Arabidopsis thaliana: one gene and its partner. The protein of the gene in region 2 interacts with the protein of the main gene of each other region in a pairwise test. Each region holds a gene or a part of one and is shown on either strand. Other genes may lie near its edges.

The links.
Region 1: the proteins of AT2G35430 (region 2) and AT5G01160 interact in binary tests that used the Arabidopsis thaliana proteins (3 or more experiments, as listed by UniProt).

Annotation. Positions count from the first base shown.
Region 1 is NC_003076.8:52,217-56,936, forward strand, and holds AT5G01160 (RING/U-box superfamily protein), read left to right. Parts: upstream 1-1,639; 5' UTR 1,640-1,980; exon of another isoform or gene 1,981-2,058; 5' UTR 2,059-2,063; coding exon 2,064-2,318; intron 2,319-2,440; coding exon 2,441-2,499; intron 2,500-2,742; coding exon 2,743-3,511; 3' UTR 3,512-3,836; downstream 3,837-4,720. Other genes in the region: AT5G01150 (hypothetical protein (DUF674)), read left to right, coding at 1-407, 492-1,223, 1,296-1,433. UniProt on the Arabidopsis thaliana protein: Probable E3 ubiquitin-protein ligase which is a subunit of the N6-methyltransferase complex, a multiprotein complex that mediates N6-methyladenosine (m6A) methylation at the 5'-[AG]GAC-3' consensus sites of some mRNAs.
Region 2 is NC_003071.7:14,899,871-14,904,186, forward strand, and holds AT2G35430 (Zinc finger C-x8-C-x5-C-x3-H type family protein), read right to left. Parts: upstream 2,516-4,316; 5' UTR 2,388-2,515; coding exon 1,874-2,387; intron 1,389-1,873; coding exon 1,144-1,388; 3' UTR 834-1,143; downstream 1-833. Other genes in the region: AT2G35420 (RING/U-box superfamily protein), read right to left, coding at 1-609; AT2G35450 (catalytic/ hydrolase), read right to left, coding at 3,331-3,487, 3,598-3,719, 3,810-3,867, 3,962-4,059, 4,148-4,225, 4,302-4,316.

The DNA of each region.
Region 1 (4,720 bases), on a different chromosome or scaffold from region 2:
GTGATTGTTTTGAGACTGAAGCTTGTAAGCAGATGCTTGTGTATCCGAAGAGTGTGAAAGACCTCCAGTGCAAAAGGCTTAAGCTCAACATAAACCCTACTGAGGACATCAAGTGTTTTAAGTGCTCAAGTTACTGCGGCTTGTACAGTAATTTCAGCACCTCTAAATGTCGTTGCGGAAAATTTATGAACGAGGAGATTCAGTTAGAAAACGAGGAACAAGATTTAGGCCGGTTTCAAGATGATGATAATGGAGTATTTGTCAGCGGTAGGTGTTCATTCGTCTTAACCGATGACTTGGAAGTGTCAGTCAAGTCCACTGAACTTGTCTTGAATAAGCTCAAATCCTTAGGTTGTGCTGATGTTGGTAAGCTCGGTGAAAGGCTTCTTGATATTGGTGTGAAAGAGGTATGTTAGTTAGTTTATTCTTCAAGCGTTTGTGTTATCATTACTTTATTAGTTCTCTCTTACTATATCTGAATCTTGGACTAGGTACTGACTCTGCTGGGATGTATATTCTCCTCAAATGCTCCCTTAAAGGACATTTTCTTGAACAAGAAGATTACACAAGGTGCGACGAAGTTTTACAAATCGCAAAGTCCATGTTTGGAGAAAAAAGAAGATGAAGCAGAACCTGAAAAGGTAGTAACTTTGAAAGCATTTGTGAGGAAGCAGGACATGAAGATTTTATTTGTTGAATGCGGAGAGGAATTTGTTGAGCTTCTTTTCTCTTTTATTGCTGTCCCGCTTGAATCTGCATGGGAAATCTCTGGCAGCAGTATCTCCTTAGGTTGCATAGGAAACATGTGTAGAACCTTCAGGGACTTAAATGAGGAGACTCAAATGTCAACTTCCACATGCGCACTTCCGTCTTTCTATAATTTCCAGATGCAACTGCCTGGTATTATCACTCAACAACCTCCGGTGTACTACCGTTACAGGCTCTACGATTACAGGCAAATGAACTATGGTTTGACTACAAACGGTAATCGAACTACTTATTACCGCAAAGACAGAATCGTTCGGGTGGATTTGAAGGATCCCAAATCCCGTGGCAGCGATAAGTCTGCTCAGGGGTTCTTGAAGAAAGCGACAAAGTGTACTGTATTAGATGATCTGACCATTACATCTATGAACTCCTGCTCCACAGTTTGTTTACTAAAGAAGTTGCAGAGTCACGCAGACGATCTAGAGGTGCAAGTAATTAGTATCAGCAATGCAGAGGTATGTTTCTGTATACCCTTTTTGATCCTGTATTCTTGAAAGGAACTTGACTGACACTTGATTTTGAATTAGGCTTTGGATTTGTTGAGAGCTTCCTTGGTGACATCCTCTGCTTTGAGCACGACATTATGGAATTTGATTGCTAAGAAACTGAAGGAGGAGACTGATTTATGGGACACGGTTTCAAAGAAAGTGAAGGAAGAGACTTGAAGAAATAGAAAGCTAGTGAGAATGAACTCTAAGTCGATTGTTGATTATGTTTTTAGAATTCCGCAAAATCTACATTACATTCCTCATGTTTTCTTCCAAGCCTTATCTTTCTTTGTAAGACTAATCAAATTATTGTTTTATGGAAATTCATCTTAATAGGGTTTTTTAAATGCAGGCAAAAACTTGCACATCTTTTTGAGTTTATAAAGCAACAAGCCTAAAATCTGGAATTTCCTAGTACGATAAGACTGAAATATACAACCATTACCAAAAAAAATGCATCCATATACAAAAGTTTATAATAAGATCCAGTTGGTATATAGTAATTGGGAATGTTGAAGACATATGAAGTGTTGATCAGAAAAAAATAAGACTTGAAGTTAATTAATGGAAACCCTCTTTCTCAGCCAGAAGACTTGAAGGCTTCTATTCTCCTCCGTTGCCCACAAAAACAAAATTTGCTTCGCCGTTTTCGGCTCCGGCGTGATTCTTGAGAAGAACTGAAGTAGAGAGAGAGATCTGAAATCTCAATCTCCGATTTAACTTGGTAACTAGAGAAGCTTTTGATTCCTATTCTTTCTTTTGATTTGTATTTCTTAGGGTTCCGTTCATGTAACTTTTACAGCGACAATGCTTCAAATTCGTCTTCGGAGGGATTCCCCGACGGAAACTGGAAATGGTGCGAGGCCTTCTCCGACGGAGACGGTTACTGTAGCCTGTCCCGACCATCTCGTCCTCGCCGATCTTCCTGTTGCGAAAGGAATCGGTTCCGTGACTCCCACCACCGTAATCAAGCCCGTCGGTCGTCGTTCTCGCCGTCAGCTAGGCGAGAGAGTTCACTTCTGCGTTCGTTGCGATTTTCCGATTGCAATCTATGGTCGTCTGGTAAAAAACTTCGCTTCCTTCATTGGTTTATGGCTATATTGATTTGCCTTAAAGAGTTTTTTTAAGGGGGCTCTTCTTCTATATGTGATTGAAACTTTTTTTGTTTTGTTTTGGTTTTGCAGATTCCTTGTGATCATGCCTTTTGCCTTGAATGTGCTCGCAGTGATTCCATCTGCTATCTGTAACCATCTTTAACTCTCATCGAATTTCATTAGAAGCTTTGATAGAGATACTTTAGATTGTTTGGTAATCTACAGAGACGCAGGATTATCATAGTTTGAACTAGGCTTCGAATTTCATTAGAAGCTTTGATAGAGATATTCTAGATTGTTTAGTAATCTACAGAGACATTTTAAGATTTACTAGGCGTAGCGATTATCAGACTGAAATCTTGTTGTCTCTTGTGTGTGTGATTACTGCACAGATGTGATGAGCGGATTCAGAAGATTCAAACAATCAAGATGATGGAAGGGATCTTCATCTGTGCAGCTCCTCATTGTCTTAGGTCTTTCCTGAAGAAACTTGACTTTGAAGCCCATGTCCATGACCTCCATGGAAGCCTATTACAAGCCGATGCAGAGAAAGAAGATGGTAACCAGTCAGATGTTCAGAGCACAATGCAGCAGTCTTCAGCTTCAGAATCCACCTTGCGAGCTCCTTTAAGATCCCAGCTGCAACAATCCCGTGAACTAAACAGGTCGGCGTCATTTGCAAAGTCACAGTCTGGATTTAGTCAAGTCCAGAATTACCCTCCAGATAGCGATAACTCTCGCCCTCCTGGATTCGAAACCGCTAGTCCTAAACCAGGAATCCGGTTCCCAGACTACCCCCAGCCTATGAATCTTATGCAACCGCCCAGCTTGCCCGTTCCAATGAATCAAAACCCGGGTTTACCACAGCAGTTTGGTTTTCCTTCGTATCCAACAACAGAGAGTGGATCATCTCAACAATTCTTTAACGGTGCTCAGTACGAGATGACAAGAACAGAGAGCGGCGGATCAGAACAAAGTTCATTGCTCGGGTATCCCCCGCCTTCACCAATGACGAATCTGAATTTCCAAGGATCGTATCCTCCTCCATCATGGAATCCCGGAATGGCACCGCCTCACACGACCCAGCAGGTTAACCGGGGTAGAGACGGTCAAAGTTTTGGGTGGCCACAAGAGAACCGTGATGGCTTTGGGCAGGAGTAAGAGTAGTCTAGTTTGAATTTGTGCAATGTTAAACTCGTCGTTTGAAAGTTTCAAGTACTTTTGTTTCTAAAAACTGTGTCGTTTGTTGTTGGTCTAACATGTAATTCGAGTAAACCCAATTTCAACCGAGCCAAAACCGTGCCAAAAATTCCATCGGAAAAACCAAACTGATTTGGGTTGAACCAAAGGTTTTACACCATTTTATAGGAACAACCATCGTAGATTGCACCCACTGTGTCACTGTGATAAAGAAAGAACTAAGATTGATATTTTGGTTTTTAGCTCTTTTTCTTTACTGTTTTGGGAGGATGATGATGATGGTTATTATATGAGTTGAGATTTTTTCTAAACACCGCCGATGATCTCACTAATCTTAGGCACAGCTATGCTTACAGACAATATTTCACAGTCTCTTTATTGGGATTCCTTCACTCTACATATGTATTCACTATTCAGCACCAAGTTCAAATTTCTGTAAGCATTTATTCTCTAGCATAAACACACACGAAAATATACTATTAGCTAGTTAAGTATAAAATTATCAAATAACTTATTCATATTTGTTAGTTTTAAACTAGAAATCATGTGAATTGAACTGAACCAGTTATTGATAAGTGTGTGGCTATGAGAAATTTCGTTTCAAATGGATTCTCCAATTATGAACCATAATGATACATAACAATATTTGCAAGACACCATTATTTCACATTATGAGAATAGAAGAAAACTGAGATCTAAGACACTTTTTCCCATGTTTTCTATGAATTATTACGATCCCCATATAAATTTTCAAAATGTAAAAGCTATAATCATTGTCGTAATTTTCATGATTAATCACACCAATCATTATGACCAACCAAAGAGAATGTAAATGTAGGATATAGTTCATTTTCTTTTCTTTTTTTTTTTTTACGACAAAATAAGGTCATTCATTTAAGCTAAAAGCGGGCGGTTTTCTTCTAGAGAAAACCAGTCCGGAGTAGAAAAGCTTACATGGGAAAAAATAGAACCTCGTGCTCTTGCCTTCTTAGCAAGACAATCAGCACAAACATTGTTTAAACGTGGAATAAAAGATAAAAAAAAACGAGGAAAGTTAGGCTTTAAAGAATAAAAATTTTTTAACTCAGAAGAAAAAGCGGGCCACTCATCAGGAGTGTCCAAAAGTTGCGTCAACTCCTTGCAATTAGTTTTTTTTTATCATAATTAGTT
Region 2 (4,316 bases):
TCCAGTAGAATGTGACCTCGAGAATCGCCAAGCCGAGGCTTCTATTAGCCTTTTGCTTGAACCAGCGGTTGGAGGATTTTCCTCATCATGGTTTATGTCCTGAATAGTAATTGTGACTGTGTTGTGGAATGATTCAAGCCTTCCAGATCCAATCATGCCAGGATCTAACTCACACCGGCAAACAGGACAAGTCTTGTGTAACTCAAACCAAAGATCAATGCAATTTGAATGAAAGGGATGACGACAAACCGTTATGAGCCTAACTGTATCTTCATCTGAAAACTCTGACAAGCAAATAGCGCATTCCGTCCCATGATTTTTCTTAGTTGCAGATGAATAGTGGAATACAGGAAAGGACCGGATGATAAACGGGTCGAGGCCAGTATTTTCAGGCGGAGTGGCCACATGGATTAGGTCACCGTAAGGTGTTCGTTGAAGGTTCCAAGTAGTAAATAATCGATTCAGAAGAAACTGCCATAAGAAAAGAGAGAAGAATCCGGCGAAAATTACAAAGAGAAGAACACCGGTCAAAACTACGGTGACAGGCATGGAAACACTAGGGAAAACAGCAGTAGCTGGTATTGAATCTATTGATGTTGTTGACGACATTTGAAGGTTGATGATTAGAGAAACCCCCAGATTCTACCAGTTTCGTAGATTGCTTGGGATATAAGAAAGGTTGTTCTTACAAATCCTTGTGAGAAAAGGAGTATTATTGTTCAAGTTAATAGAGAGAAATGAGGAGAATAAAGTGGCTATGTCTGAGAGACAGAAGTGGCTTTGCTTACCATTTTGAGCGAGTCTTTTGTGACAGTTAAAATCGTTGTCTTAATAATAAATCATTTTACTGTTAAAAATAACTCAAAACGAAAAATTAATATTGACCATGGAAATAAAGAAAAAGGTTTAGGTAGCAATGATGATCCGGTTTACAAGTACGCAACATTATTTAGTTCGGTTTGATCTTCTGCAAGATTAGATTTAGGATTGACAAAGAGAATAAACAAAAAGATGAGAGTTTTTGTCTTTGTTGAGTGAGTCACAATCTACAACCACAGAAGGGAGGAAGCTAATATGTCCACACAGTTACAAGTCTAAAAGAAGCTATACCTTGATCAACAAATCAGTGAAAATGCAGTGACTTTACTCAATATCGTCGATCCAATCACCATAAACACGACTGATTTTATCTGGTCCTTTCCATTTCCGTTGAGTTCTGACTCCGTTGGGTTTCTGCGTAACAGCACTAGATGTCCGTTGGGATGAGACTCCAGGAGAAACAAGGCTAGTCACTGTGTCTACTTGTCCTCTCTGCTTTGTGTCCAAAGTGGCGGATGTTCCGATCTTACATTCTCCTTCAACGAGTCCTCCGCCAAATGTATGCAACTCTGCAAAAGATACCATAAAGACTCAAACTTTTAGCTAGCGACGATTGAAACTTTCTGCATTTCCATAGCCATTAGGAACAAGCAGATCAAGAATTCTTTCCAATCAGAAACCAATTGACATCATCACGTAATGGCAATGTAGCAATAGGAAACATTTCAACAATCTCACTCGATCCACTTTAAGTCCATTAATAGACATTGTCACCAATCCATTCACCAAGCACGATTAACTAATTGGCACCCACAGTCCATATAAAGAATCCTCAAGGAAACCAATACCATTACATATACAATTCAACAGACTTAACTTAAGCTAATAAAGATAGTTCTAGTGTTCAAAGATGATCTCTTAGTCCAGAGAATTAGCATCCATTAACCTCTAGTGACACTCTAAACTCACAGTTCATCAAGCAACACCGATTAAAACCCATTTCTAAACTACATTCGTTGGGGTTACTAATAGATGAAAAAGGCCGTAGCTTTACCTGAAGGTCCATGAGCAAAATGGCAGTGAGAACCAAAAGGACAATAGCCAGTAGTCTGCCACTTATTGCAAATCCTTGTCTTCCAATTCGGAGACTTGAGAGTCTGAGCAACATTGCCACGAGGGCCTAAACTAACCGCAAAGCTTTCTCTGTTTCTTGAAGCCTCTGTCACCGTCTCCTGCCAATTGGGCGGCGGCGGCGGAGGAAGACGGAGCTCCTCCGCGCTGTGAGCAAAGTGGCAAGAGCTCGCGGAGTAGGGACAAGTTCCGGCGCGGAATTTGAAGCAAAGCTTCGTCTTGAAGAACGATTTCCCGATCTCGGAGGAGGAGGAAGATCGTGTCTTCTTGCTCGGAGACTCTGCGCCATCAGAGTTTATGGCCCAGACACGGCTGTAATCATCCTCAGTGGCCCAGACGGAACTGTCGCCGGAATTTGGAAAACAATTCTCAGGCGGAGGGTCGTGGGTGATTCTCACGTGAACTGCATCACTGCCGTAATCTCGCCGATGACTCATCACGTCGACCAAGAAACCCTAAACCCTAACCCAGGAGTAAAAGCAAGAGGAAGTGGAAAGAGATAGAGAGAGAAAGAGTAGATGAAGAGGAAGTGGAAAGTAAAGTAGAGTAAAGCCACTCAAAATCGTACTAGTAGTAGCATTTATATAAGGATCAAAATGTGATTAGCTATAAAATCAATAATGGTCACAGATTAAATAAAAGAAAGAAGTTTAACTAATGTTGATAATTAAGACGAGTAAAACAAAAGTTGTTAGGCAGAGAGGATTTCTATTTTTAAGAGCTTCACTTGCTCTACTAGTTTAGCAAGTTGTGTAAATTCACTTCACACTCTCTGAATCGATTCTACCATATGAAACCGCGCTTGTACATTTCAAGAATCCAACCCAAACAAGTTTTACAATGCTGACTAATCTCGATCACCACTTCTTTCAATTCTCAAAGAAAACTCAATTGTCTCTTTGAATTCCACATTGCTATCACTTGCACAACTCGATACTCCATCATGGCGATTTCGTAAATAGATGAAACTAACTTACACGGGTATAAATTATAACCGGAGACGCCAACTCTTACTTACTTGTAAAACAAGCTACTGGAGAGAAGCTTGATTCTTGAAACTTATCCCTCATAAATGTCCCAGCAAAGCCACCGATGATTATAAATTATCACCTCACCTCATTGAACACGGAAAGGGGATCCTAGCAGCTCACCCATTGTGGAAGAAATTTTCGATCAGAGCACATCAACATCCAGGCCCTCCATCATCTCACGATGAATCATTATGATATCAACACATAAGATTTTTGTTGATTTACTAAATTGGTATACATCTAGTGTTTGGTAATATATAGGCTAGAGTTAAGTATCTTTAATGATACAACTTCCATTGCTTGCTTCATTATCTCATCCGCATGCAACCTATTACTTCTGACAAGCCTCTCAAGGAAGAACCCATTGTCCAGGGAAGAGCTGCATCAGAGTCTTTCCCAGAATCCAGTCCATCTCAGAACTTGACAAGGATGCTTCTTTTGCAATGATAGTCACAGCTTCTTTAGCTTCTTTATATCCACATTCAAGAACAACAAATGGGAAGTCACTGCAGCAGATGGAAAACAGCCAATCCGTATATGATCATGTATTGTTAGTAGATATAGAAGGTTTTTTGTGGTTTTTAGTCGGGAAAGCGAGGTAAATAAGTATGTTTACCTGCCCCACATGACACGATTTGCCCCAAAATGGGACACAAGTTGAGATAGGAGAGGCGATAGGTCCTGATACGGGAAGCCGGTTCTTGAGATCCTGAATAGAGCACTGAATTTCACATATACCTGCTTGTTACAATATTCTTCCCTCAGACTCGTATAATCTATAATCTATGAGAATTCAGATTCTAAAAGTAATTTTTTTTTCTTTTTCACCTGTGGAAATCTAGACAGCTTCATGAGTTGAGAATAAGCAAGCTTTGCCTCACCACTTCTGCAGGTTGTTGAAACCATGAATATTAGTACTACATTCTATAGGAATTTCAGGGGACGGGATTATTTTTCACAAAAAGCAAAGAACAGCTCACTCTGGTACTTTGCAGAATCCAGCGTGATCTAGTAAAACAGTTGTCTTTGGAAATTCTGTGCAAAGTTCCTCAATTTCTGCAATGTGAAGATCTAGACCCTGAATAAAGAAAACAAGATTCTTAACGAAAGAACTTCGCGTAAACCACACAACTTTGGAGACCACAAAGGTGAAAATACTACCAGACCTTCATGCACATGAAGCCAACAGGCACACAAAGCTCCCCTGCTTTAGAGAACAAGGCTTTACCAACAGCATTTGTCATCTGTGTTGAGTCATTGACAATCAACAGAATACGGTGGAAACTTGATCTAAGGTCATTGGAATGGTTAAACTGTTACCTTCTGACCCGATGG